Alligator mississippiensis: one gene and its partners. The protein of the gene in region 3 interacts with the protein of the main gene of each other region in a pairwise test. Links are inferred from orthologs where the notes say so. Each region holds a gene or a part of one and is shown on either strand. Other genes may lie near its edges. The genes, in order: SMYD1, RHOBTB3, BHLHE40 and HIVEP1.

Region 1 (7,097 bases), on a different chromosome or scaffold from region 3:
GCACGTCCCAGCCCCGTGCCCTGAATGAGTGATTGAGGTGCAGGGCTTAGAAAAAGCTGGGGGGGCAGGTCCTAGACCTCTGCTCTGATCCGCTGGTGGGACAGATAGCAGTGAGCCCCTGGCTGGGCGTGGATTCTCTGCAGCTCTTTCCAAGCCCCCTGCCCCCAGTTAGAGAGCCGGGGCCAGGAGCTCCCTGCAGCCAGGGCAGAGGGACATTGTCCGCACCCAGGCTCCCGTGGCAGAGCCCATCCTCGCAGCAGGTAGCTCTAGGGGGCAGGGAGCAATCTCCCAGTCCCCACCAGGAGACAGCTGTCTCCTGGCCCCATGCCCCCTACTAGCTCCAGGGCTAGCACCCAGGGTGAGCCTAGAACTCCCCCTGACTGCTGCAGGGGGCTGGTGCAGGGCTGGAGGGGGTGGGTGCAGGCTGCTGCCACAAGCAGCAAATCTGCTCCCACATCCCAGCATGTGTAGACGCCTGCCTGGGGTAGGTTTACTCCACAGTACTTTGAAGTAAACCCATCCCGCATCATTTGTACATGTAGACAATGCCCAAGTGAAGAAAAGCCAGACCTCTAGCATGAGCATAACTGGCTCCCACGAAGGGTGTATGAGCTATCTGTAGATGAGGCCCTGAAGGAGTTGCCTTATTTCACACTAGCCGCAATGTGGAGTGTCATTTAAAGAGAAAGTAATGAATCAAACCATTTTATTTTACAGAACTTGTCCGAGCATTGTGTATAATCCACTGCTGTCTCCTCCTGGACTTGGGTGTTCTTTAAGAGTCATTTTAATTCACCAACTGCTCATAAAAGTCCTAGTTCATAATCAGGCTCCTTGGGACTCAGCCTAGTTCAGGTTGGATGGAATAATTACCAGTATCATAGACAATGCTTAAGAATAAATCAGTAATCATCAGTTCTGGTCCTACTTCCATGGAAGTCAAGTTAGCAGATTGGATTGAATTTTGCCATCCCCTACTCATGTTAACTAGTACCTGTTCCACTGGCCCAACCAATGCTTCCAATGCAACCTCGGGTCAAATGAAGGCCCAATGCAAAGCCTATTGAAGGTAATGGAAAGACTCTGATTGATTTCAACAATAAATTAGCATTGGTGCTAATATAAAGATGAGCACTAGAATCTCGCCCACTCTGAGCAGGATTTGGCTGTCCATCAGTCAATTGAATCTATTTCAGGGATTGACATAGCATGACTAACTGAAGTGGTACACAGGCATAACTCAAGTCCAGGTTATATGGTGGTGGCAGTCACCTTTTCCAAGAGCAGTTCTTACAATGACGTATTAAAATGCAAATAAAGACCACATCTCTGTTACCACTATCCTAGGTTCTTACTCCTGTACCCCCACTGATATTACAGCGACAGAGAAAAAACGAGTGAAAAGATACAAGCGTAACTAAGTCCACACATTTATTTTCTTCTTTTTTTCATTCAGCATTAATTCTCTGATATTGCCTGATGACATAGCATTAGTAAACAAGCTCACTGAATTGTGGGCGATCGAGCAAAGCACTACATGGTGACAGTTAAAACTAAAGAATGTCTGATACCACCCTAGAGCTCCTTAAAAGAAATGTTTTTCAAAGAAAGCTTTAGTAGGTAAGTAACGTCCTGCCTTATTTCACATACAGAACATTATTCGAAAGTCACTGGAGGTTTTCAGCAGAATTCAACCCCAGGATTCATTTACAAGGTGCTTTGAGAAATGTTTAGACCGTTATGAAGTACAGAACGAAAGCAATGCACATGAAGGTTAGTTGCTCCTTTATGATGTTTGGGCCACATTCTGTGCTCAATTATTCACGTATAAATGTAGAGTAATTCCACTGAGGTCAATGAAGTTATTCTGGATTTCCCACATTAACATAATATGAATATGGCCTGCTGTGTAGAAGCTTTTAGGTTATTTGGGCAGAACCCACTGACCTCAAGGGCGGAATTAGGTACTCAAAGCCTACATCTGTGAAGAAAATTGATCCACCAATTTTTTATAGAAAAATAAAGAGCTTGAGACAAATAACATAACTAAACATGCATTTACATGAGGATTCACTTGCTGGTTACTTTAAACAAAAGCCAAAAAAGCTAATATCTGCTTACAAAGATAACTGTCATACAGCAGCTTCCCTTCATTCATTCAGGCATGAGCATAAAACCATTTTAGCAGTAACAAAAACATTCCCAAGTTCTCTGTCTCGAACCATTTGCCTTGAAGCAGGTGATGTCTTTAAAGAGGCACCGAGTGAAAGATTGACTAAAGAGACCTAGGCAAGATCAAGTTTTGATAAACTGCCAGTAACATGAATATGTTAAGGACCTCTTGACTTTAAGCATTAGTGCCCTCTCTCTCTGTGTATATATTAAGGGGGCATATGCACAATTAAAGCACAATGACATACTGTATCTCTACCATGCAGCACCTTGTGGGATCTTTTACAGCGAACTCAGGGACTCGTTGTAACAGCACTTGCATCGCTCATATTGCAGTCCATTGAACTAATTCAGCTCCAACTACAATGAAGGAAGCTGAGAGCACTTTGTAAGCTCAGGTCCATGTAGCAGGTCACAGTGTATTTAAGGCACACAAGCGGGATGATCACTCTGTCCTAATGAGAGGAGCGTTGTGGCAAGCTGCAAATGACTCACGAGGAAGTGTTACTACTCAGATTCTCAGCCTTCACTGATGCTATCCAGACTCTATCAAGTTAACACCAGCTGCAGCCACATCAGACTTTTGCAAGGAGCAGGCTTTGGCATTTACTTTACAATAACTTTTCTCTTACCTATCAAAAACCACCGCCGCATAAGCAGGCTCCGCAAATATGACTTCCCCAGACAGGAATTCTTTGACTGCCTTCAAACCCCTGCCTTTGTCTTCCGACGTGAACACTTCCACCGTCTCCATTCCCCCTTTTGTCATGTCAGGGAACCCCAGCTCCTAATGCGAGTGAGCCAACTCTCTTGTCACTCCTGCTATTTCAACACCTTCAGCCTGACCCAGGACCAGTCCTATATATGGACTACGTTGCCTCCTCCCCCCACCCATTTTCCATAGGAGGGTGAAGGGAGGGGAGGGGGAGAAACCCTTTAGCTTAATGCAGTGCTAAGCACAGAAGCCAAATGATTGGTCATGCATTACCAGTGCCATCAGCTTCATTAGGAAAAGCCCATCTGAAAAACTCATTGGCATTGTTTCTGCCATTTGAAAGCTTTTGTATATGTTATGACCACCAAGTTTAATTTATTCTCTCCCATTGGAAAGAGAATGCATTCACTTTAACAGGGTATTTTTAGAAACCACATGCTTCTGTCTATCAGGAGCCAACAGCTGAGACAGCCGTAAGTGGTGGGTGGGTTGTGTGTCTGGGGTTCTTTCCACTGTCATTTAGGTTCTTCCAGAAATCAAACAATGCTGCTTTATTTTTACCCTCCAGGAGATATGCTGGAGGCAAGGGTGAGGAAGGTCTGTCAAACATGCAGGCTAAAATTACCCCATCTGCTGCTGCAGAAAACAGGCACAAAAGAGAGATGCTTGCCACATGCCAACTGAGTGACTTGGAGAAGTGCAGGGAATGAGCTGGAAGGCGCCTCTTTAGAAGCAGGCATGACATATTAGCTGTCTGTCAGGAGTTCAACAGACTAAACTCATTGAAATGCTAGCAAGCTTGAGGGCTGTGTTTATCCCCGATGCAACTCCATGGAATTCAAAGGATGGACTGGACCCAAAGCAGGTAAAAAGAGGATAATATCCCCAGCAAGCTCAAATGATTTATAAAATAGGACATTGTTTCTACCCTTCACCCGCACCCATCAGTGTAAAACCAAAATAACACCACTGAAGTCACTGGGATCCCTCCAGATTTCTGCTGATGTTAACAGAAAGAAGAGTCTTGCTGTGAAAACAAACCAGTCAGCATTGGTATTTGGTATTTCAGTATTATTTATTAATACTTTGTATGTCTAAGGTCCCAGTAATTTTACCACATCTATCACTGGGAATTCAGAGTGCCTTGCGCACATGAACGTATGTAGACTCTCTGTCCCTCTGTGAGAGAAGTAAGGGCTATGTCTGCATAACAGATGGGTAAACTGAGGGATCGAGAGATGAATTGGTTAATACCTGTCAGCCCACCCAAAGTTGCCTGAGTTGGAGGATGAGTGGCATCTACCTTGAGCAGTATGTAATAGGCTGGTGTACACAAATGGATCTAGGATTTTCATGTGGTGCATCAAAGAACACATATCTTTCTCCAAGTAAAGAGAACCTAGATGCTTTATTAGTATGCTAGGGGGCTAGCACTATAAGATTTAGTTTAAGATCAAAGCAAAAACAAATACAATTATTGGAGTGTGTGCTAATTTGATAGATTATATACACAGTTTTTTAAAAAAACACAACAAATTAGGCAAAAATAGTTAAAATAAGTCAAAAGATATTGTGCCATTAGTCCTGTAGTCATTCTACTTAAATGTATGTCTCTTAGTCAGATTCATAAAACAAAATCTTGAGCATCTGAGTAGTGCTCCCAGTACTTCACTATCAGCCATGTCTACACTTAAGTTAATATTAAGGACCATTAAAAAAAAGAGAGAGTCATTGACACACCGTGGAGTGGAGAGAGAGTAGCAGGAATCAGGGAAATGATAATGGGCCAAGAAGTCAATGGACTCCTTCAGTGCTGCCTGAATAGAAATGCTGCTACTCCACCCAGGCAGTTGGTTTAAAAGTTGGGTGGAGCAGGAATCAAAGTGGGGACAGGAAGAGAGGGAAGAGGAGATAATGCAACTGCACCACTGCACCCTCCTAGATCTGTCTGTGCTGGGGGGTGTGTATGTGTGTGTGTGTACACATGCATACGTGAGTGCCACTGCTATCTTTTGGACAGTTTCCAAACTGCTCAACTCTGCATCTTAGACTTTATATGCAGCCAAGAGTTAATGGAGATTCTTCTTTAGTGAAAATAGCTGAAGTAACGATAGGAATCACATAGTAATATAAATACCTACTCCGAGGTTGTTCTGAGCCTGATAAGCATGAACTAGTTACTTCCAGAAACATAAGCAAATTCAGGCTAATCATAGCACACATGTGATCTGTAATAGTGCTCTGATTGCTATCCAGCCAACCAGACACCTACCTTTATTGCTAAACACTACTGGGGGGGGTCTGTGATTTTGAAGCAGAGGATCTGAGTTGTACTGCTGCCATCCAAACATCTGAGCAGTCACGCTGTGCAGAAGAGGGGAAACTGCAGTCCAAGGCTTTGGATTTGTTACAATATCTTTTGTCTCTTGGTGCCCTACCACACCAACTTATGAGTGCGAAGAAGTAGCCCTGCAATGGCAAAAGACAAGAATCCCTTCCAGTCAAGAAGCTGAAGCTGATCACATCTGTCTTGATATTCATGCTCAACTCCTATGAATGCAAGTGCATCAGTTGAAGAGTGGACACCAGTTAGAAACAGATGAGTCAATAGCAGTTCAGTGCTTCATGTTTTGATTTGATATGAGATATACCTCTATATGAATGATACTTTTAACCTTTTGCCGTCAGCATACTCCTCAATTTTGTGTGTGCAATGGGACTCCTACCCCATTACTGAAGGAGAGAGGGAGCTGAGGATCAGCTGGCCAACTCCAGCCTCCTGGACAAACTGATGGTGGCAGAAGGCCCTTGAATAAAATGCCTGCCTGCCTCAGGTGCAGCCAGTGACTGACAAGCCTGGGGTGGAAGTAGTGGCTCAAGTACCCCAGAGAGAGAGATAAAAGCCCAGGACCTGAAGCAAGTTGGGCAGTCTGGCCCCACAGGCTGTAGGAAGCAGAGCTCCAGGGAGGACTAGGGCCTGACCGGACAAGGAGGAAGGACTTCAGGCTGCAGGGATGCTGCAGGAAGCCCCTGCAACACCTGGCAGCCAAAGATAAGTATTTTGGGGCCCGGCATGGTGGTTTTCCCACAGTGTGGTGTTAATCCAGGATGGGGAACCTTTTGTTTGAGAGCAAATGCTCATATCTTTTCATTTGTGTTTAAATACTGGAAGACCAGATTGTGGCTATAGGGGTGGAGGAGGCCACCGAGAATGGTGCCAAGGACACACCAGGTCCTAGACCCTTCAAAGGGTCTAGTGCTGCTGTTAGTGGAAGGATTGGGGGTGCAAGCCTTAGCCCATGAGGGCAAGACCAGGGGCTGAGGGGCCCAGAGCCCACAAGGGTGAGACCAGGGGCCAAAAGGCCCAGAGCCTACAAGGGTGTGGCTGGAGCTGGGGCCCAGGAGCCTACAGTCCTGAGACAGTGGACCTCAGGTGGAGGGGCCCAGCCAGAGTAAAGTGGACCCAGGCCAGGGGGCCTCAGCCCAAACAAGGGCCTAACACTCACAACTCCCCTACCTTAGGGGCACCCTCCCTGTCCAATCATAACATAAAGGTATGGAAGGAAAGATAACAGGGTGGGACCCTGAGAGGTCAGAGGGGGCAAGTAAAGTTTAGGCAGATACCCAGAGAGGTGATTTTGCTCCCCCAGCACTGGACCTGCTACAGTGTCAAGGCTGTTAATGAAAATGTTAAACAAGATTGTTCCAGAGGTTGATCCTTCAAGAAGTCCATTAGTAACTTCCTTGCAGTTTGATACCTTTTCTTTTAACATTACATGTTAAAAAACCAGCTGTGATGAGGGAGCCAGCAAACAGCAACTGCCAACAGGGGAGCAGTTTGCAGGCAGTTGTTGGAGGCAAGAGGAGGGAGGGAGGGAGGGGGAGAGAAGCCAGGCCAGGCACTAGATCCTACCCAGAAAAGGTAAGTGATCCAGCTGCCTGTACCTTTGGTTTAGCTGGCTGTCTGTTTGTTTGGCAGGTGTGTGCTCTGAGAAGCTGGAAGTGAGCGCTGAGTGCTAAGTGACTGTTGATTGCTGTGGGATTGCTGACTGTGTGATTGCTGCCTCGGCCTGAGTGAGCCCAGGCCCAGAAGGGTATAAAAGGAGACCCCCCAGGTGACCAGAGAGCCTGTGACCAGGGAGCCAGTGAACAGGGACTGCCAAAGGGGAGCAGTTTGCAGGCAGCTCTCAGGCCAGTCATGGGCAGGAGT
Region 2 (7,618 bases), on a different chromosome or scaffold from region 3:
CGATGATCTAGATTTAGGTTCAGATCAACCCCATTCTACTGTCTACAATTCAATCAACTGCCTAGAGATTCAATCTGCATCTTCATTCTGGTCTGAAAAGATACCTCTACACCTAGACAGAAGTATCCATGCACTTTCAGAAAAAATTCACATCAGCAATCCTGCCCAAAGAGACAGCTTCAACAGGAAGAGCACTCACTCTGATTAGAGAATTGTATTGCGGCTTGCCTAGTGGTTACAGCACTCTCCTGGGAAGTGGAAACTGTGGGTTCCAGCCCCCTCAAAATGAGGAAGCTCTGCACCCTCCCATTTCCAACTAACAATCTATTATGCAGAAAGCAGCCACCAGCACTACCACTGACACTGGCTGTGTTTGAGAGCAACCCTAATGTCCTGCATCTTGTACTGAACAGTCAGTATGCATTAGGTGTTTGTTCAGGAAGGCACCTTACTTCTGGACCCTGAGTTTATGGAAGTGCCTAAGACTTTTTGTGCAGCCCTGAGTCATGCATCTGAGCCCGAGACAAGCAGGAGTTTTCACATTCCTATTTCCAGCATTTCCTATTAACTAATTCTTGATATCTCCCTGCTTAGCATACTGGCTACCTGGTTTAACTCCTGCATCTAATTTCCTAGGGGGTATCTAGATGCCTAAGCCTGTTAGTTTGGCTCACCTTACTGGGGCAAGGTATGTAATTCTCAGGTGTTGCAGTACCTAAATTGAGGTGCTTATAAGAACAATTTGGATCTGTCCCAAATCACCTGTGACAAGCAGGAGCACCTCTATAATTTCCATAGGCCTATTCCCACAGAAGAGGCATAGTCATCAAATATAAGTCTAAGTAACAGTCCAAAGAGCAAGCTAAAGAAGCCAAAACAGTCTCTTCCACAGCAAGCACCAGCCTTTTGTAGAGAGAACCCAATTATACAACTACCCACTCCAAGTAAGCAAAAAAATACCCACTATATTAAAAACTCTTTATCTGCTCCAGCTGGGAAAGCTTGGAGATAGAAGAGTATAGCACTTCAGGAAACATGGAGGAGGTGTCAAAACAATATAAGCTGCTGCTACTGATATTTAGTTTCTGCAAACCTACAGCCTCCAGAATTGAAAATTTTGCTCTCTCTTCAGCAGCTCAGAAGTTCAAATACTGATAAAGGTCAATCAAACATTTGAAATTTGTGAACACTCTCCAGGACCACACAACCTTGCCCTACCTTTACCAATCCTCCTTCCAGTTTCTTCTATTGATATCCTCCAGTCTCATTATACATCCATTCTCCAACCTTTATTCATATTGAATGGCATTTACGGTGAGGTGTGGTTCCACAGACCAACACATGCAAATACTATGCAAGGTGAAACTTTCAAAACTGGGCCCTCAATTCTAGTTGACCGGGTCATCACACACACAGAGCACAATGGCTACCACTGGAGAACAAGGCATCTGATCGCTGAGTTCTTCCACTCAGAATTTCTACAGAGAAATTTTGTGTGTGCAAGGATTTCAAGACGAGGCTCTAAGTAATATTATGAAACTGAATTTAAGTATATCTGACTAAACAACAATCCTAAAGAACAGTGCTCTGAAATAATCACAAACATTAAATCTGGTGAGAACCCATCAGTTCTCCATTAAACTCACAAGGTCAGTAACAAGTCAATTTTTGCTCAGGATTCAATAAATTTACTTCCAAACAGAAGTGCTGAATTAATGGAACAGTATCAAAAACTGTTTCTCTCTCTTTTTCTGGCTCAGGAATTGCTTTTCAGCATTTGATAATTCAACACATTTAAACAGGAACCAACAAAAAAAAAAAAAAAAAGAATTCATACACCATAACTCCAAATTGCCCCATTACAAAATGTCTCAGTAATTTTCAAAGCTGGACTATTTCTGGGAAACAGATTCCCTCTCCAAGTGTTTCCCTACAGCAGTAAAGCAAAGCATATATGAAAACATTTTGATAACTCAGAGAGAGAGTTTGGTTTTCAAGCCACACAAAAGGTTTCTTGTTTTCTTTTGGATTCTTTTCAATGCAGTTTTTACCAAACAAGCGAGTTGAAAATATTGCCTCCTCATATAGGTCAGTAGGCAGTGGCTTTGCTAAGGGGCTTTTCATCTTGTTGGTTATGGGAGAATATCCTTGGGTGATTATGTGTTTAAAATTGTAAATCCACTTCTAATGGTTTATTGTTTCCAATTGTGAAATTGGCAGACTCAATAAAAACCGCATTGAATTAGGAGCAGCTCCATTTTTTTTTAAATTAAGCTTATAAGTTTCACCCTAGATTCTTACCCAAAGGGGACAGTCATGTACCACCAGCCTGACATTTCCAAACACGCGGGCTTGATACTCAGTGAAAACAGGATTTCCAACGTGACTGGCAGAGTTCAGCAACAAACTGCTTTCAGTCTCTGAAATGAGAGCGCTTCTCCCCAGATAGGTCCAAATCAGACTGGGCTGCTGATTTTCCTCTGAAAAGGCCTCCCTTTCATTGCCAAAGGCTACAATGTGAACGGACCTAAAACAATAAGGAGAAAGTGAGAAACATCTACTGTTAGCAAAGGAGGGAAGAAAAAAAAAGATCCTTTCAAATCAGAACAAGGCTACTAAACGCTTCTCCAGCCTCTTCTTTCAGCCGTTCCTAAAAACCCAGCCATCAACCACATACATGATGTCAAATCCGAGAGCAAGAGGAGAGGAAGGGGGGAAAGAGTCCTGCCGGCATCATAGAGCCCCAACTCCTCTGGCTTTTTATTCCTCCATTTCCACAGGCAGCTTCACGGATGTCACCTCAAGCAGTCGTGCCGCGGGGTGCAGTGCCTCCCGGGGGCCTTCAGTGCTCCGGCCCCTGCAAGTCAGTGTGTGTAACCGCACGTGACAGCGACAGCAGCAGCGCGAGCCCCTGCTCCCGGATCATCTGCTACTGCTGGAGGGGACTGCAGCACCAAGCGCGGCAGCCGCGGGCTCAGCCATTGCCTCCTCCTGACGTCAATAAACCCTACCTAAGAGCGTAATACACGCAATGAGGAGCCTGCACATTTCTGCAGCGCCGACACCGCGCAGCCGGGGCAGCAGAAAGACAAAGGCGCTCCGGCCAAGGCAGCAGCTGACTGCGCTGAGGGAGGCTGCCCAGTGCACTGCTGCTGCTGTGCAGAACGGGGAAAAAAAGCTACATAAATACATGAGCTCACTGCCAGCCAATCTGCGGCCAGGCAGCCCTGCTGAACTGGCTAGAGAGGACCTCAGCAACGGAGGGGGCACAAAGGCGGCGTTGCCGGGTGGGCGGTAATTATCCCCTCTGAATGGTTGTTCCAGCCCTTGTACAATGCACGATCAGTAATAGTATACATGCTCCAAGTGGACGATCGGGGTTTTTTTGAGGCAGGACTCGTGGTAGAGGTGATAATCTTCTATTAGACCAGCTAGATTTTTGGGGGGAAAAAAAACTGCAAAAAACATTTGCAAAAATCTAGTTGGTCTAATAAAACATACCACCTCTACTATGAGGCCGGGTTCCTTGTTGCCTCTAGACCAATACAGCTACAACCTGGCTACCCAATAATTTTCGGAGCAGGTAACTGATATGGCCTATGTACAACACAAGGCACTCTGGGAGTCTTTCAGGTTTGCTGGGGTTTTTCATTATTTATTTAAATTTTCCATATTCCAAGCCAAATTAGCCAAAACAAATTCCAAATCTGAGGGCCAGTCCAGAACCGTAAGTGGCCCTACTACTGGCAAACATCCTCCACCCCCATCTGGGGCTTCTGATGTTCCCAAAACCTTAGGCGGGCATCCTATGTGCAGGCCCAAGCCCAGCAGCTTGGGGTTCGGATGCCCCCAAGTTCTGCTTCCCCCAGCCATTCGGCCCCAAGGAGCAAGCTAGGGAGGGTTTGCTGTCTGTACTTTTTATGACTGCTTCCCTTGAAATACAGAAATGCTTCAACTTGGATGACCCAGTTCTCACTCACTCACTGGAGATACAGTGAGCAATAGAAAGTAAATAAGACTTATTTGCAGACTTGTTTCCTTTTTTTTCAGTGTACAACAGTTTTTCAGCAAAGATAGTAATTTAGAGTTTCCAATATGATAATTTCATATTTAAGACCTGGCACTGCTGGAGAAAGGCAGTCCAGATGAGAAGAGCCTTCACAGGAGACCAGTTGCAGCCTTTTGCTTGTGTAACAGCTTGTTTTTCGACTCCAGGCTGATTGCACTTAGATATCCTCTAGAGCAGTGTTTCTCAACCTTTTTGTACCAGGACCCATTTGTAATCATCCTGACCCAGTGCCCCTCACTCCTGACACGCTGCACCCAGGCCCCCAGTGTGTGGGACAGGGGGGGCCCCCATGTAGCCTGGAACTCAGCCAGCCTGCAGGGGAAAAGCCAGTTTCCCAAGTTTTTCTCCTTTTTAAAGGAGAATCCATTTTTTAAAGTTTGTTGATCCATTTTTTAGGTTTGTTTGTGACCCCTCCGTGTATTCTTGCGACCCACGGTTTGAGAAATGGTACTCTAAAGCAGAGTATTTTTTCTGTAATCTGAAATCAAGTAAAAGAAAAGAGATGACTTTTTCTGAGAAGTACCTTAAATCTGTCACAACCCAAGGGTGTGATTTTGTGTGCATGCGCTTCGGCACTGCTAAATTATTTCCCGCCACAAGGAGCTTTTTTTGCAGGGTGCATTTCTCAGTTGCAAAGAGAAATGCACGGTGCAAAGGAGTTCCCGCCACCCGCATGCAAATTTGTGTCCCACTATTGGCCAGTTCTAAATTATTCCCACGTGGCGGCTAGCAATTGGCTTGCTAGCTGTATAAGAGGCTTGAGCGGTTTCCGCCCAAGTTGGAGGACTCCACAACTATCAGGAGGAGAACTTCACATCTAGTGAAGATCTCTAAGCACTGCGGAGCCTATCGGACCCAGCACGTACCTTGAGAAGGCTATAGGGGTCTGATCAACCTCTGGCCTCTCCCTGTCGCCGAACGATCCCTTGACGAACCCCTTCCCTGCGCGCAAGTTCCACGGAGCCTAGCAAACTTCGTGTGAGTGTATCCAGAGCTCTTTCTCCGAGTTGTTTTCTTCGGTTGACACTGATGGGCTCGCGTGTTTAGAGCCTTCAACCGGATTGGGCTAGAGGTTCGCGTGGAAGGAACTCTTGTCCTCTTCTCTTCTTTTCTGTCTGTAACTGCAACTCAAGCAAGTTTTCCTGCCTGCACCGCGACCATCTACGGTGTAAGTAAAATAATCTTTAATCAACCGCTACATGTCCGTGCCTAATTCTAGCCCGCCGGCCTGCATTCCCCGACCCGCGTGCCAGGGCTGCTGGCCACAGCCCGCTGCGCGCCCCCGAGAGCCTCGGACTGCTCCTGGCCTGCACAGAATCTAAAAAGGTTGAGACCCACTGGTATGAATTAATTAACAAGGAACTCTAGGGATGAGTAACTCTGAAACTACCTCAGTTGTATGAAAAGACCAGAACACAGAAGGGTTACTGGGCCTGAGACTGATATATCTTGTAAATTAAACAGACCCCCAAGACGGGTGTGTAGTGACAGAAGTTATAATTTAGACAGGCTCCAAAACAGGAGACTGAGGGAGTTGGAAAATGGGAGATGGTCTCTCAGGGTGCAGACAGACATTAAACAGGCCCCAATCTATCTCATGGCACTTTATATAAAGCACCATGAGTCAGAGCACCCCCCAGCCCAACGACGTTTGCCTGTTGGATCAGGAGAGGGGTGCTGGAGCCAGCCTGGCACTGGCCCAGGCTCAAGCAGCCTTCCAGGAGGCTGCCAAACCACCCTTCTCCCCAGCCTTGGCCCCTCCCCCAGGGCTGTCAACAAGAGAGCTTCCAGCTGCTGAATGGCAGGGAACTGGTCCCCCTTGCTTCTGCTTCTTGGCCCCCACAGCTATCCTAACTGGGGTACTGGGGGGAGCCGGGTCAGGCCCACAAAGCAAGGGGGCCCTATTGCTCCACACTCCTCCCGTGGCTCTGGCCATTTGGCAGCTGGTTGCTCTGTGCTGGCTGCTGGATGGCTAGAGCTGAGGGAGGAGATGGAGCCCCCTTCCCTGGAGGGCCTGGCCCCAGCCATGAGGCAGGGTTGCCCTGTTCCCCATTCCCTCCCCCCAGCTCTGGCCATTCAACAGCCAGCAGCTCCCTCTTCTCCCCCCTGATAGCCCAGGTGAGGGACTGAGCACCAGCCCAGCTCTGCCCCCCACATGAAAAATTAACCCTGGAGGGAACACAAATTCCCTCAGGCACTCTGTTTTTGAGCTCCTTAATGTAATACATGATTTAACCAGGGTTAATTTTTTGTGCAATCGACCATTTAAAAAGTGCTCTGCAGCCATGCATGTGTGTTAGTCACGGCTGTGGAGCACTTTCAAGGACCAGATCTTGAAATGACTTGAAAAATGTCATTTCTGTCTGCACTTTTCAGGTAGCAGCTAGTGAGCCAGTTGTTAGAGCCAGACAGGGGATCTGTAGAACTTGCTTAATAAAACTTGCTTTTTAGCTTTTCTCATTCATGTATGTCTGCATTTATTGAAGCTGGTGGTCACTACAAGGTAACAGAAGTGGCAAATGAGAAAGAACTTTAAAGAGTTGAGATTCAAACTGAAAAAAAGTTGAATACTGAAAATAAGTGAAGCAACGGAGCCACGTGAAAGGACAAGGGCCACCATAAGTGATCTACCCACAGGTTAAGTAAAAGGACAGCTAGTTATGGAAGTTTTGCAACATCCACCTGCTCTTCTGATATTGGGCAATATTAGCAGAGAACTAACTGGAGGACGTTCAGTACTACCTAGCAGCCACAGGGCCTGAAGAGAAAAGACACAGTGAATTCATCTATCTTGCATACTGTGGAGAAGGAAGACCTGGTAACACTTTTGCCTTCAAAAAAGATATGAAATTAAGTAAAATCCTGTCCAAAATTGTGGAATATTGCATGCCAAAAAAGAATGAGATGCTGGAAACACAGATGTTTAATGTGCAAATAAACCACAGGAGAAAGGATAGACCAGCATGTTACTGATCTAAAAAGCCTGAGTAAGAACTGTGCTTTTGGGAACTTGACAGAATCTCTTATTAGAGACAGGATTATTTGTAGCATCACAAACACTACATTATAAAAAAGGCTATTGTATTAGGGAGATTTGTCACTAGAAAAGACTATCCAAATGTGCAAGAGAGCAGAAACTGTGAGGGCCCAGGCTGCAGAGCTGTGTGCACCAAAAAGGGTCGTTCAGGCAGTAGGCCTCAAAAAATATAGCCAAAAAATGCCACCTCACAGGGAAAGGATTTTTCATTGGCAAGGATTATGCTAAGGGAGAGAGAGCATATAAGCAGACATATACTAAAAGTAGAAGGCAACGTTCCTGCAAACATTGTGCTGAATTTAGAAAGCTGTTTTAACTGTAACAAGAGGAACCACTTTGCCTGATGCAATCCCCAAACACACAGCCTCAAGTACGCAGTGGAGAATACACCGGAAGAATTTTATATAGACATGATGAATCAAGCAAAATCAATGAGAGGCTGTGGCCAGTGGAAGTAACGATGGTTTAATTTAAATTGGACACTGAGATCAGGTTAAGATTTCACCAGAGAA
Region 3 (7,869 bases):
AAGTGAATCTGACTTCACGCTACGGTCAAGCTGAATACCCATTTTTACCATATCCATCTAAGAATGAGTCTTCACATACAAGTTTCACTTTTCAACTCATTATATGTGGCAATCAGATGCTAGTTTGAGAAGAACAGCAAAAAAGACTCATCAGGAAAACACCTATTCCACAGCCATCGGAAAAAAAAAAAAGTGCAAGAGTTCAAACTTTCCCCCTCAGTTCCAGACCCCAGGGAGGACTGGGCTTAAACTTTGACAAGTGACGCCAGCTCTGGCTGTGTAACTCTACTGCACACCCCGTGGCTGTGGAAAGAGTAGCAGCCTTCTTAGAAAAGCTGATTTTATCCTACCAGATGCAACCAAATGCCGGAAAAGAAGGAGGTACGAAACAGATTTAGAACATCATTAAGCCCTTTAGACTGGTTCCCCCTCAAGCTGCGAAGGGTAGGCAAACTGATTACTGGAGAGACCAAAAAAGTGTGGGTTAAACAGATGCTTTCGTCTGTTTGAGAAAAAAAATAAATAAAAAATGTAAAAGCTCATCAAATCAATGGAAAGATTCTGGCCAGTGTATCTTTGGATTAGGCCGCCCAGTAAAAATGTACTTCCAAATGAAATATTTTAATATTCAGTTGAACTGAAAAATGAAAAAAAAATCATGGCCAAGTATAAATGAACCAAATAGGGCATCTTTTCTGCATGTGGGCACACATACATGCTGCAGGGAGAAGGGTGCAGGAGTAACTAAAGGAGTGGGGGAATGTGCTTACATGTCCCTTCTCCAAAACCTAGTCTCGTAAGTCACCCATATTTCAAAGGAGCTGAAAGCGAGTTTGCTCTGCACACTAGGACTCTCACGTGATACAAGCATGACTTGAATACTCACCAGCTTGTAAACCACTCTGTAATGCAATTATTTTCTGCTGCTGCTGCTCTATGAGATTGGTCAGCGCTTTCACGTGTTTCAAGGTAAGTTCAAGAACCACTGCCTTCTCCAAGTGACCTAAAGTCTGGAAACAAAAGGACACATAAGTACAGTTCTGATGAAATGAAAGAGAGTTACTGCCATGGGAGAGAGCTAACAGTGTCCTTACTCTGCAAAATCTTTTATCCTGAATAATAAGTGGCTCTGACTCCACAGTTTATGTAAGCCATAAAAAAAAAAACAAGGTGGTGCTGGCTGCAGAGAAAGCTGTAGTTATGTCTTATGAGTATTTTGGGACCAACTACATAGCTTGGAGGAAAGTATCTTATTTATCTGTTCTGCTACTCCTGCCGGTATCGTGACCTTAACACCAGGGACTCCAATCAAGGGTTCTTTTGAACAGCGACAGGAGAGGGGAAACCTGCAAAGTAGCAACCAAAATAGCTTTCCCCAATAAAGTTCTGCGATAAAAATATACTTAAAAAACCCCCAGCCCCTTAACACTCATATTTTGAAAACCAGAAGTCCCGAATGCTACAGCAGGAGAGGTTGCTACCTTGAATATCTACTCCACTATGTGAATGTAGCAAATCATTTAAAACTTGGCAGTAGGTAGCATTGAAACAAAATCTAAAAGGACCGGACTGTGGGATAAATTAGGGATCGTCTAGTAACTGGCATCTGGTCCTACTTTGCAAAGAGCAGCATGAAGCATTTCCAAGATCCAAAAGGAAATGCCCAAACCTTTGCCGAACGATGTTAAAATTCAAGCGTGCATTAATGACCTTTACAAGAGGCCCGATTTTACCATAGCAGCAGCTCAGGTCTTATCTTTCTCCCTCCCTACTGCATTACAGGCATTGGTATAGAAATTCACTGCCTTTGCAAGGAAATCTAATGCTAAAGGAAGATCAAAGTGGCAACTCCAGCCAAATCTCAGCCTTTCCCAGCCTATGCTGCAGTGCTCAAAGGAAGCCTCTAGATGGCACGTTTACTTGCACAGAAATCCAGGAGACCCGCACGCACCCCAAAAAGGAAGAGGAGCTTGGCCAGTAGCCAGATTTTCACTTACTGTAAGTTTGAGATGTTCTGGTAAGAGATCTTTCAGTTGGGCGATGCACTCGTTAATCCTATCCCGCCTTTTCTTTTCTATCAGCCTGTGGGGCAGCTTGTAGGTCTCCTGCAAACCAACAGCGGGGAGAGAAAGGTGGCTAAGTCAGTCAGCCCAGATCCCAAATGAGTCCCTAGCACCATGGAGAGACACAGCGATCAGAAATGATCTAGAAACTAAAACGCGACCTCCCGGCGATGTCACCAGGGAGCTCGACTGGCTTCATCCCTTGCAGAAGCATCGCTCAACTCCTGCAAAACTCGGTTGCCCTCCTTCCCCCGCTGCAGGAGACGCGGGTTACGCCAAGCGCAACCGTCCCACCTCCAAGAAACCTGGAGGCAGGGCAAGGCAAGCTGTCCGGGCTTCTCTCCCACCCTTGTGCGCGCGCTAGCAAAAGGGCACCCCCGGCCGCCCCAAATCCGGGCGGCCAGCGCCAGCTCTCTAGTGGATGGCGCGGGCGAGGCGGGCTCCTCTTACCTTGCTGTCCTCGCTCCTTTTCAAGCCTCGCCGGGGCTTGTAGACCTGGTACATGTGGGCGAAGTCCAGCCTGCGCACAGGGGGAGAACAAAGCGGCGTTAATTTTAATCGAAGTTCAAGCCCCGTCCCTGCTGCAGCCCCCTCCGCCCCGGGGTCAGGTTCAAGCCCGTGCCCGGCTGGGGGCATCCGCAGGGCCGGGGCTTACCCGGGCATGTCGGGGCTGTCCAGGGCGGGCAGCTTGCCCAGGCACACGGGCGGGGGCTGGGCGCTGGGGATCCTCTCCATGGCCGGGCGAGGAGGGCTGGTGCTGCGGCGCGGCGCGGCGCGGCGGGGCCGGGGCTGGCGGTGGCTGGGGCCGGTGCAGCGGGCGGCTCGACTCAGCGCGGGCCGGGCATGCCGCTCCGCCGCGGTCGGCAGCGACTGAGCGAGCGAGTGAGGAGTCCGGGGGAGGCGGCAGGCTGGGTTAAATGGGAGCGGGTGGGTGGATGGAGCGACGTGTTCTACCCTGTGACTCCGGGCACGTCTGGCGGCGGCGGCGGCGGGCGGGGGGAGGAGGAGGAGGGAGGGAGGGTTGCCGTCACATGAGCCTCACGTGGCGGACACCGCTCTGCTCCGCTCAGCTCCCCCCGCCCGCCCGCCCGAGCCGCCGGCGGCTGCGGCCGGAACGTGCGGGGGAGCGCCCTGCGGCCGGCACCGCCCCGCCCGCCCGCCTGCCTGCTGCAGCCTCGGTGTGCCCACGCGGCTGCCGCCCGTGCGCCCCTACGTGCCCCCCCACACTTAGTGCTCCTAGTGCACCCTCCGCGTGCTTCCAGTGCACCCTTAGTGCCCCCGCTGCCACCTCAGTGAGCCCCCAGTGCAACCCCAGTGCATGCTTAGTGCCACCTCAGTGCCCCACTGTCTCAGTGTCCCCAGGGCACCCCAGTGTGCTTCCAGTACACCCCTAGTGCCCCCCACTGCCACTTCAGTGAGCACCCAGTGCAACTCCAGTGCACTCTTAGTGCCCCTGGTGCAACCCCCCACACTTAGTGTTCCCAGTGCACCCTCAGTGTGCCTCCAGTGCACCCTTAGTGCCCAGTGCCATCTCAGTGAGCCCCCAGTGCACCCTAAGTGTGCTTCCAGTGCATCCTTAGTGCCCCCAGTGCCCTAAGTGCCTCTCAGTGAGTCCCCAGTGCACCCTCCATGCCTCCTCAGCGTCCCTCATTGCCCCCCATGTGCCCTAACTGCCTCTTCCATGCACTCACTCAGTGCACCCCCAGTTCCCCCTTAGCGTCCCCCCACTGCCCCCTCTGTGTCCCCGCAGCACGCCCAGCTTCCCCCTCACTGCCTCTCCAGTGTCCCCAGCTGCCCCTTCAGTGCCCAGGGCTCTGCCATCTGGGGACGAGTTCCCCTCCACCCCAGCCTGGGTCCTGGCCCATGAAAGAAGAGCCAGGCTGTGGGCGCAGCCAGAGCCAGCGCCCCCCCGGGTGTTTTTGGCTGGATGGGGAGAACCAGGGTAGGCTGCAGGGCTGCCCCACGAGGCTGGAGCAGGGCATCCAGCGCCAGGGCTGTCGTGCGGAGGGCACGGGACACTCCCGTGGGAAAGCGCTGGGATCTTACATAAGGCAGAGGTGTGGCCGGCTTAGTGGTCTGAGCCGAGCCCAGCAAACCCGGCCCTCCCTCCTCTGACACGGGCGCCTTTGACCTTGGCCAGGTCCCTTCGGGGCTGTGCCCCAGCTCTCCCATCTGCTTGGCAGAGCCGGTAATACTAACTCACCTCCCTCGGAGGGGTGTTGTTCAGATTAATTAGTTGACGTCTGTAAGAGCACTTTGAAGCGGCTAAGCGCCGGGTATTATTCTGAGCAGAGCGGGCAGGGCTCCAAGTCTGTGGAGCACAGCAGAGGCAGAGCACGCTGGCTGCACCTGACTGCAATGTGTTGAGCTTATTATCCGTGTTTAATGGAGTAAGGCAGGGCGGGGGAAAGGCATTCATAAAACACAGTGCCAAAAAATGACTCTTCTGAGCACTTTCAATTGAAAAATTGCCACAAGCGGCAGGGAAATAAGTGAGAGAGGGCCCCAAAGTCACCCTAGGCAAATGCTTTACCACCCACTGAAAGAGACTTGCCACCCCAGCTGAGCTATTACATAATCGTGGCAGCTCTCCAGAGGGAACAGACGCAGAACATGCTACATCTGTTTTCAATGTATTTAGCTATTATAAAAAATGTCTATACTTTGTAGTAATCCAGTGGCTAACAGCTTGATAAAACGCAGCTCCAGATCCAACACATTGCGTCATCCTTAGTGATTTCCACATGCCGTTGTGCGGCTGGCCCGGGAATATCCCAGCCCAAATGTCAAGGCGTGGGAATGGCACTGAGAGCAGAGAAGCATTTGGTGGTTCGAACAAGGCAACATGCAAGACGTGCGAGATGAGGGGAGTGCAGCTGAGCCAAAAGGGACAGAAATCAGGGCGAGGGGTTGGTTTCGCTGATACCACTGCGAGGTCAAAGGCTGATTGAGTACAGCTTCACTGGCAACGTGAGCAGGACACTGAGGGCCCCAGAAATCCTCATGCAAAAAAGGAAGGCGAGGCATAGTGCTCACAAAGGAAGCTGGGTTGCCCTGGCATCCATTTCTCTGACTCATTTACTGAAGGTGGAAGCAGGACCAAATGTGTATCAATTTATGGTAAGCCCTTATGGTGGTAGGAGCTCGTATCCTGGGTTCTGACAGGGGGTTAGGACTTCTAGATTTTGGTCCCACTGCTGCCAGGGGTTGCCATGGGACTTTCTGTAAATCACTTAAGCTTTCATGTCACAATTCTCTGCTTAGCTAGGGTCCTTTTATGCTGTTTGGGTACACATATGGGCCTTAAATTGGGTATGGATGCCTTTGAGGACATCTGTTTTCCACTCAGAGCCCATTGTAGCAGTGGATGGGAGTATGGCTAAAGTCCATTACTCTACAGGCAGAGCCATGGGAAGCAAAGTGGAAGCGAGGCCACAGAACTGAGGTTGCTGTAGCTCAGGACTCATCTACACTATATATATATATATATATATATATATATATATATATATCAGCCTTCCTATGCTGGTGAAGCCTGTGATATTTACCTGTATGCCCATACCATTATATGGTATGGGCATACGGGTAAATATCCTGAATATGGAGACCATATTCCAGCATGGTTTATTTCCCTTCACTGAACTGCAATAAACATCTGTATGCAAGAAAACTGTGGCTTCACTACTATGTTGTGGGGGGGAAAGAGGGGCCAGAAATGGTACTGCTTTAACCACACAGGAACAGCAAATTTGGCAAAACCTTTAAGTATACACGAGGTCTTAAGTGGAGAGCCAGGAAGACCCCTGAAAAGCATCCAAACTCCACAAGTCCAGGAACAAAATAGGCAAGAGCAGGGCCAGCCATGAAAGCATTGCAAGTAAGTAGCAGGACTTACCTATCTTAGTGGGGTTTGGGAAGGTTTAACTCTTTGATCTCTTTGATTCTCAGATGCCAGCTATTATGCAAATGCTAACAGTGCTTATGGTGGTGTAGCTGCCAAAGCAACCTATTGATTTGGAGGGCTGGGATCATTTTCCTTGCTGCACGTGGCACAAGTAGAGGCAAGCTCACAAGACACAAGGTATATTTATCCAGATAAGGTGCTAACAAAACTTGGCACGGAAAGTTTGTCAAAGGTTTCCCTATCTCATCCTGTGGCTCCTGGGACCGTCAGGAGCATGAGGTCAACAACTGCTTTGCTGGTGAACAGAGATAATGTTTTATGCTAGTATAGGTGGCATGTTCGTTTCAAAGTACACCATCATTGGATGAGTGTGTGGTTGCATGAGAAGCCTTAAGAGAGTTTAGTACTGTTGACCTGTGACTTCAGAGGGTGATTCAGTTGACTCTACTCTTGCTAGGCCCCAGAGGTCAGTTTTCTAGAAACCGTAGTTACAAGACCCCTGCGGTATCCACTGCTTAAACAATGAGCCCGTGGTGGTAGTGACTGAGAGCATCAAAACAAAACTATGCTGTGGGGATCTGGTCTCATCTGTGTTTCATAGCTCCAGCCTGAAACTGTATGACCCAGCCTAGCATTCATTGCCATGGCCAGCCACTCATTTCAAACATCTTCAGGTCTTGGCCCTTAAGACATGATGTGGCAGACACTTATATGTTTAAGTGCCAAGGTAGTTGCGTTGACTTGAAAGGAGTTACTCATGTGCTGAGAATTAAGCATGTAGGGCCAGGACCTTCAATTGTAAGCTCTTCAGAGCAGAGATTGTCTTTATTAATGTTTCCCAGGGTGGCACTTAAATACATTTGGTAATAACTGTCACAAAAGTGAGGTTGACTCATTGGCTGTTAATTACTACAACTGCGATAAATATGTAAAGCAAACTGCATAAATAATGAAAAGTAAAACTCTTTGTTTTAAAGATCTAAGCTGCTTGTTGTGACACTGAGGAGGAAATGAGAAATGAGTTTAACCTACTAGTCTTGTTTCACCATCTAAAATGTTTCTTTATCAAAGCATAGGAATAATTAAGGTTCATAGCAGCAGGCTTCTTATGGCAAGGTCCAACTTTTAGGGTCAGGGTTTGCTATTTTTTCTTCGTTCTGAGTTTTATGTTTAAAGTCAAAATAGATGCGGGCCAATGCATGCACGTGGGCTGTTTGACTTTTGCCTGCTCTGAGAGATATTTAGTGCATTCCTGCAATGGGTGGTGAGCTACAAAGCAGGGTCAGAAGTAATCCCCCATGATTTAGCCCTTTTACCGGGCGTACGCTTGCCAAACAATACTCTGTATCAGGATTTACTGATGACCTTAAGGGTGGTTGGCAAAGATCCCCCTAAAAAGAGGGCCCCTCATGAAGTTATTACATTCTTGGGCATCAAGTTCGATTGAGGGAGAATTGAATTACACTCTTCTGTCGAGCTACTGCTTCTGCTTCCATAAACTAAGGCTGATGAGGTTATCAATTTGCTGCCACAGTTTTGTTTGCAGAGCTCCCTCTCCATGGCAGGTTCTTTTATGACACCTCATAGGGACTAAAGCAAAATGGTAAAAGAACTGGCATTATTTTCCAGAGCCATTAAGGGAGAATCTGGCCTTTTGAATGGTAGTTTTAGAGCATTTGAGTATCATAGGATAGCAACAGCTCGTGTCCAATGGGGATTTGTAGTTATTTACAGATACATTAGCAAGGAAGGGCTTGGATGTTGTTTTCCAAGGTGTGCAAGGGCTGGCTAAAGGAACTGAGTGCATGGAGCTTTCTCCTCCAGAGCAGTTTCCCTCATAATTACGAAAATGGGAATTTTGGGATGCAAAGTTCCTAAAATCATTGGCACTTGTGTCTGATT
Region 4 (6,837 bases), on a different chromosome or scaffold from region 3:
TATGCAGGCAGGTGGAATCTTTATCATTCAAGGTATTACAAATAATGCATTTGATTTCCAATTGATTTTTTTAAGGACATCATCAATTTGCATTACTGCAAATCAATAAACCAGTTTACAAGAGTTTGTTGCCTACAAGTTGCTGTGCATTTACAATGCCAGGTTGCCATTCCTTTTAAAAGGTTTCTCATGCTTGTCTTTGTGTGAAGGAAAGAACTGGCTATAGAAACAAAAGCTGGATTGTACCGTCCCTTTTCCTAAGAGTCATGATAATAAAGTACCAGATAAAAACAACTACATCCAGTAGTGTGATGATTTTTTTGGGGGGGGGGGGGGAGGGAAGGGGATTACACTTCAAAAAGCTAAGTGACATGGAATGCAATATCAGTGGCCAAAAACGTCAACCTTCAGTAAGGGGTGTTGGTGCCTGAAAACTTGCAAAGAACTTTTTTCCAACTACTTTGTTGGTCTCATAAAAGATATTGCATTTACTTTTTTTCGGGGGGGGGGGGGGGATATCTTTTATTAGACCAACTGTATAGCTGGGCCCAACAACCATGCATGGAAGTGCACTTAGCCTTGGAAAGCTCCTCTAACTTTATTCCGCATATACAGTTAGTCCAATAAAAGGTATCACCTCCCTGCTAAATAGGTTCAAGGCAGGCCAAGGCCTCTGTGCAGCCAACCCTCACCGCTGGGGCCTCAGCGCTGAACCGCCCTGTGCTTGTGGAGAGATACAAACAATGCCACCCTTCCCTAGGAGCATCCCCTCTACAGACTAAGAGATGGATTAATAGCTTTGAAACCAGTTAAGGAGGAGGCTATTACTTGGCTTTACAGATCTGCATTTGCTAAATAAATAAATAAATAACCCCACCCCCCCCCCAAATATCTAGCCGGTGGCAGGACCCTCTACTATCCCAGTGTGAGGCACCCCTGCAAGGAGCCCGACTTCTTCTAAGCACGAAGCCTCCCTTTGGCCCCCTGTTAAGCTGCTGCCCAAGGTGGCTTCAAAACCCAAAGGCTTCATCTGCCACTTCTGTCACCGCCCCCATGGGAGCACCTCCATTGCACAAAAAACAAACAACGAATGTTGAAACGCCCTCTTCAAACAGAGGCCGGGATCCCTCGGGCAGGGGGCACCTCTCAGGGCCCGGGGACGCCCCGCGGCTCCTCCCGCCAGGCGGTCGAGACCCGCTCCCGGGGGCCCGTCCCACCGCCTCCTGCCCCGCCCACGCCGCGGCCCGGCGGCGGCGGCTGCCCCAGGGGCGTGAGGGGCCGGGGGAGCGTGAAAGGGCTCCTTCCCCACGAGGGCTCCAGGCCAGGGGGTTGCTGTGCTCGGCCGAGGGGAGCGGAGCGGAGCGGAGCGGAGTAGAGCTGCGAAGGGAAAAGCAGCCGCGAACGGGGCCCGGGAGGAGGAGCCGGGAAAACCCCTCCGCAGCGCCGCGCCGAACAAAGCGCCGCGCCCCCGGCGGCGGCCGCCCCTCCCCCACCCCCGGGGGGCGGCCCCGGCAGCGCGGGGGGAGGGGGAGAGGGGGCGACTGCCCCCCGCCCGCTGCAAACCTGCTGCGGTTGATGGCGGCAGCCGGGAACCGCGGCGACCCCGACCCCTGCGCGGCGGCACCTCCTCCCCGCCCCGGCAGCGCCGAGCGCTACCATGACCCGGCCCGGGCTGCCCCGGCCCCGCCCCCGCCATGCCGGGGGGAGGGGCGGGGAGGACACGTCTGTGCGCAGGGAACTACCCCCGCGGAGGGGCGGGGCCGCGGGGACCCCCCGCACGGAGCGGCCGTTGGGGGGGAACGCGGCAGTTCCGAGGGGGGCGGGGCGGGGGGGTTTACCTTCTCTCACTTTCTATTGCAGGAAGCGGGCCGGGGCAGTGACGTCATCGGGGCTCCCGGCACCGCCCCCTTCCCTTGCCTGGCGGGGCGGGGGCACAGGGTCACCGCGGGGGGAGGGGTCACCGAGGGGGTTCCCTCGCGGGCGGGAGCGCGCAGCCTTGCTCCGAGCAGGCATTTAAACCAAAAACAAAATCAAATAAAATAAACTAAAATTTTAAAGTCCCCTCTCTCTCCCCCTCCTCCCCCAAGAGCCGCCGCCGCCTCCTGCCCCTCCCCCCAGCTCGGGGGGGGGTCCTGTCAGTGCAGGTGTCCAAGTCACGTCAGCCCCCGGCCCTGCCCCCGAGCCGGGCTGGGACCCGTGTGAGGGGCGGGGGAGCCCCCGGGAAGCAGCAGCTGGAGCCCCCGAGCCGGCGCTGCTCCCCCGCCCCCCCGGGCCTGAAGGCAGAGACAAAGGGCAAAAAACAAGTGCGGCGGAGCCGGGCCGAGCGCGCAGCGAGAAGTCCCCGCGCTGCGCTCTGCCCCCGGCGGCTGGCAGCCAGGGGCGCCGGGCCCGCCGGCTGCGCCTCGCGCTCCCCCCTGCAGCGGCCCGTCTCCTTGCACACACACGCACACAGACACACACACACGCACTGCCATGCGTGCACAGCGCCGGGGCTGCTGCCGCTGCTGCTGCTGCTGACGCGGAGATCCCGGAGGTTCCTGCGCGCTGCCGCTGGCAGGTCACACGCGCCGCGTCCTCCTTCCCCTGCTCTCGCGCTGGGTTTTCCCGGCCGCTCCCAGCCGCGCTCCGTCCCCTCCTCCGCGCACCGCGGGGGGCCACACCGGCCCCCCTCCCCCGCCGGCCAAAAAAAATACACGAAGATCAAAAGCAGCAGCTCACCCCGCGCGGCGCCAACTCCTTTCCCAGCTTTAACTTTTCATCTCCGGGCGACGGGCGCCGAAAGCAAAACCCCTCCACTCTTGGAAGTGGGCGTGAGAGGAAATACGAGGAGGAGGCGCCTAATGCTCTCCGCGGCTGCTCCCCTTTTTTGGCCCTTGCCTGCTGCTGCTGCTGATGCTGCTGCTGCTGGGGTTTTGCTGCTTCTCCGCTGTGCCGCGGTGATTGGTTTCCGACATCAGCTGTTTCGCTCTGTTTTGCGTGCGGGTCATCGTGAATGGGGAAGCGGGTGGCAAGGGATCCCTGCTTCCTCTTCTCGCACACGCCTTTGCCTCGGCTTTGTTTTGTTTTGTTAAGAAGCAAGGCACGTCTTTTTTTACTGCTACGTAGGGTCCCCTCCCAGCTGGATCTTTGCAGCTTGGGTTACCCTTCAGGCTGCATCTGAATGCACACACACGTGCCCTTGTGCCTTTGCTGGTTTGGGGGTAGTGTGCTAAGAACGCAGGCAGCACCGTCCCCAGGCCCCTGGCAGCCCCGGGGTGAACTTTTAGTATCGGGGCCACCTTCACCAAAGATAATGATAAGAATAAATCAGACAACGGGGAAGCAAATTACCATGTTCAGGCCCTCTTTCTGTCCGGGCCCTGGGCAGCTGCCCGGTTTGTCCATGCCTGTATCTGGGTCTGGACCTAAGTAGACAAGGTTCTTTGGGGAGCCCCAGGTACAGGGGGGCTGGACCCAGTGATCCAGCCCCTAGCACCTATGAAACTATGTGATCTCTTCTATTAGACCAATGAAGCAATTAGAAAAATTGTTCTTTGCAAGCTTTCAGGTAGATGTGATCTCTTCTATTAGACCAACTAAATAGTTGGGAAAATTGCTCTTTGCAAGCTTTCTGGTACAAATGCCCTTCTTCAGGTGCCCCTCCCTCTGCCTGAAAAAGGGTGCTTGTGCCCAATAGCTTGCAAAGAAAAGTTTTCCAACTATTCAGTTGGTCGAACAAAAGATATCACATTTACCCAAAAAACCTTGTCTGTTTATGTCTTTACACAACAAACCCACTTGAAAGATCTCTAATGATGTCTTGCTTGGGTTCAGTGTTTCCTTGGGCAGGGTGCAAATTAAGGGGGAGCTCAGGGAGGCTGAGCCCTCCCCCCCCCCCCCCATATGGGATAAGAGCTCCCTACAAGATTTGAAAATCATAACATGGGGGGGAGGGTCTCCAATCAGATTGCTCCTTCACTTAGGTGGAATGTTAATCAATGAACCCGTTTACATTTTTTTTTTTTGCAGACCCCCGAACAAAAGTCAAAGTTTAATTCGAACCCTGCCCTTGGGCTCCAATCTGTGTGTACCCCTTGCACATCTTTAAAAGGCAGATGTGCTATTGAACAATAACAAAAATAACTTTAAAAAAATGTTCCTTCTTAGCCCTGACAATATGTTGCTTAACCAAATCTCAATTTCACAAGCACATATGATATGAAGTTCTGCGTGTTTACAAGATTATGATTTTGGCACTTTTATGTACAGACAAAATGATTTTTTCCAATTGGTGCCAGCTGGAATGAGTGGAGCTTAACAATGCATTTGCCTGTGGTGAATAAAAAACTGTTCTGATGACTGCAGGGCCTAAGTCATCGCTATTTTGAAGAACTTCCGCTTTTGTAAAAGCAAAACATTATTGAATACCCTTATAATAAATTTCAAGTATGAACCAATACAGTGATATACTTCCGAGTCTGCAGACAGCTCTAGTGTCTCTGTCCTGCTCCTAGCTTATATAAACAGCAGAGTAAAGCACAAGGCTGTTTCATTACTGCTACTCCAAGCCTAGTTTCACATTGCTAAGGCACATTGATGAGCGTGTGTCACAGTCACGCCTCAGCTTCACATTATTGGTGAAGCTATCTGTATCACATGCAGTAGAAGCAACAGAACTTGTCACAAGGGAAGGAGAAAAAAAAAAAGATACTCAACTTCTTATAATCTAGCTCCATTTTCTGCCTGGAGGTCAGGGTGGTATTTGGAATTTTATCATATACCTATATTAAAAGACTAATTACAAGTGGCAAACAGTGTCCTGGTGCAACACACTGATGAGACTCAAAGACATTTCCCATCAGATAGAAGCGAAGTGAGATTTTTTGCAGGGATTTGCCTCTAGACCTTGCTGGTAAGGTCCCTTCTCATCTTTCGTATCCATTATTGGCTAGATTTAGTTCTTTGGAACAGGGGCAGCCAACCTGTGGTACGCACACCACAAACGGAATGAGTAGCCTCTGTGCCGCACATGTCAGATCAGCAAGGGGACAGCCAGCACAGCGGTAGATAGGCCAGGGACCAAAGAGGAGAACAGCGGATCGGGCAGGGAGCACTGGACAGGAAGCAGAAAGCAGCCTAGCTGATCAAGTAGGGGAAAGGGGATCAGTACGGTACTCGTGGAGGGCTAATTCATGGCACACTTGCCAAAATGGTTGACCCTCACAGCTCTAGAATACAGGGGGCTAGTGTGGCACAGCTGACAGAACTGGAAGGACTGGATGTCAGATTTATTTTTCTGTCTGTTATTGCCTGCCTGTGTGGTCTTCGCCAAGGCGCTACCTCTTTCTGTCTCAGTTGCTACTAGTAAAATCAAACCAATATATACAATCACCTGGTAAAGCATTTTGAGATGCAAGGAATGGTGCTCTATATGGTTATTATTAGCAGGTGTCTAAGTACTCTCCCAACCCTGAGAAGGAAGGATATTAAAAAAAAAAAGCAGTGACATTTAAAAATTTTTATTCACTGAAATGCACACTGCAGCCTCTTTCATCACAAAATTAAGATATTTTAAAAACTACATCTAATATTAATCCCATCTAAGAGAATCTCCTTTCAGATGAACCTATGTGAGAGTGGTGGACAGACTTCTAAAACACAAATCTCTTGAATGTTTGCAGTACTTTCCAAAGGGACTCCAGTTTCAGGATTATCTACAAACACACACTAAATTTATGCTTTCAAATAGATATTTTTGCATAGCGGTGCACATTTAAAGCTGTTCTTCCTTCTGCCAAACAGGTAGATATATAAAATAGGAGTAGGAAAAATCAGAACACAGGAGGGGGTCTTTAAATCATTCAGTATTTACCACACTGTAGTAAAACTCACTATACGATATTTGACTTTACCACAGCTCTTAGATACCAAGATCATAAAGCATAGTGGTAAAATTGGGCACTGTGGTTAATCTGGGCAGCAAATACAGATTTTTTTTATATTGTCCACCGCACCATGACCTGGAGCTGAGAAAAGCTTAGACTGATTATTAGAGCTGGTTGGAAGTTTTGAGGGAAATTCTGAAGTTCTGAAAAAATAATAATTTCAGAACCAGGGTACAAAGTTCTAAATGCAAGAAAGAAATACTGTAAATATTTTGTACTGATATAATGAAAACATTTTCAACAAAATGATGTCTGGGAGCCCAGGATCTGAGGCTCCTGGCTCAGCTGTAGCTCCCAGGTTTCCAGATTCTTACTCTGCATCAGAGATCCTGGAAGCCTGGAGATCCCTCAGTTGACAAGGACCTTGGAAGCCCTGAAGCCACTGCAGGGCTGCTAGGCTGGCTTCATAACAGGAAGCAAAAGGCTGGGTGGGGCGGAGGGGCAGGGGGGGTAGGGCTTTACAATGCTTGCCCTGGGGTAGTCTCCCAGGTGACTGATGTGCAGCTGCAGATCCTGGAAAACCCAGGTCCCAACTTGGAGGCAGCCTGTCTGGCCAGCTGCCAAAGATCAGGGAAACAAGCTGGCAAGAAACCAGGTAGGTTTCTGATAAAAACCTGCCTGTGTTCCATAGGAAATTGGCGGGTTCCCAGGAAATGATTTCAGTTCAATGAAGTGGCATTTTCGGATGGTAAAAAACATCCCACTGAAAAAAGTTCCGACCAGTTCTGTTCAGTATTTCTCTCAAAGAACTCAGTCACGCAGAGATCCGCTGATGGCCATTCCTGCTACGAAATGGGGTCATTGGAAGAATGGTATCTGGACAGACTGGGAAGAGAGTATGGTGTAATTTACTGATATTTCATTATACCCTAACTCAGGAAATGATTAACTGGACCTTTCCTCAGACAGACAT

What was found.
Region 1: the proteins of BHLHE40 (region 3) and SMYD1 interact in binary tests that used the Homo sapiens proteins (3 or more experiments, as listed by UniProt). The link is inferred for Alligator mississippiensis from reciprocal best matches to the Homo sapiens genes BHLHE40 and SMYD1.
Region 2: the proteins of BHLHE40 (region 3) and RHOBTB3 interact in binary tests that used the Homo sapiens proteins (3 or more experiments, as listed by UniProt). The two-hybrid records come from large-scale screens. The link is inferred for Alligator mississippiensis from reciprocal best matches to the Homo sapiens genes BHLHE40 and RHOBTB3.
Region 4: the proteins of BHLHE40 (region 3) and HIVEP1 interact in a two-hybrid assay, tested with the Homo sapiens proteins (2 studies listed by BioGRID and IntAct). The link is inferred for Alligator mississippiensis from reciprocal best matches to the Homo sapiens genes BHLHE40 and HIVEP1.

The regions. Positions count from the first base shown.
Region 1 is NC_081825.1:14,314,501-14,321,597, forward strand, and holds the start of SMYD1 (histone-lysine N-methyltransferase SMYD1), read right to left. Parts: upstream 3,013-7,097; 5' UTR 2,942-3,012; coding exon 2,805-2,941; intron 1-2,804. UniProt on the Homo sapiens protein: Methylates histone H3 at 'Lys-4' (H3K4me), seems able to perform both mono-, di-, and trimethylation. Acts as a transcriptional repressor. Essential for cardiomyocyte differentiation and cardiac morphogenesis.
Region 2 is NC_081826.1:239,081,152-239,088,769, forward strand, and holds the start of RHOBTB3 (rho-related BTB domain-containing protein 3), read right to left. Parts: upstream 3,006-7,618; 5' UTR 2,680-3,005; coding exon 2,678-2,679; intron 2,528-2,677; coding exon 2,302-2,527; intron 1-2,301. UniProt on the Homo sapiens protein: Rab9-regulated ATPase required for endosome to Golgi transport. Involved in transport vesicle docking at the Golgi complex, possibly by participating in release M6PRBP1/TIP47 from vesicles to permit their efficient docking and fusion at the Golgi.
Region 3 is NC_081835.1:11,999,772-12,007,640, reverse strand, and holds the start of BHLHE40 (class E basic helix-loop-helix protein 40), read right to left. Parts: upstream 3,021-7,869; 5' UTR 2,799-3,020; coding exon 2,719-2,798; intron 2,584-2,718; coding exon 2,514-2,583; intron 2,106-2,513; coding exon 1,998-2,105; intron 1,011-1,997; coding exon 887-1,010; intron 1-886. UniProt on the Homo sapiens protein: Transcriptional repressor involved in the regulation of the circadian rhythm by negatively regulating the activity of the clock genes and clock-controlled genes.
Region 4 is NC_081826.1:132,223,350-132,230,186, forward strand, and holds the start of HIVEP1 (zinc finger protein 40), read right to left. Parts: upstream 3,006-6,837; 5' UTR 2,719-3,005; intron 1,781-2,718; exon of another isoform or gene 1,564-1,780; intron 1-1,563.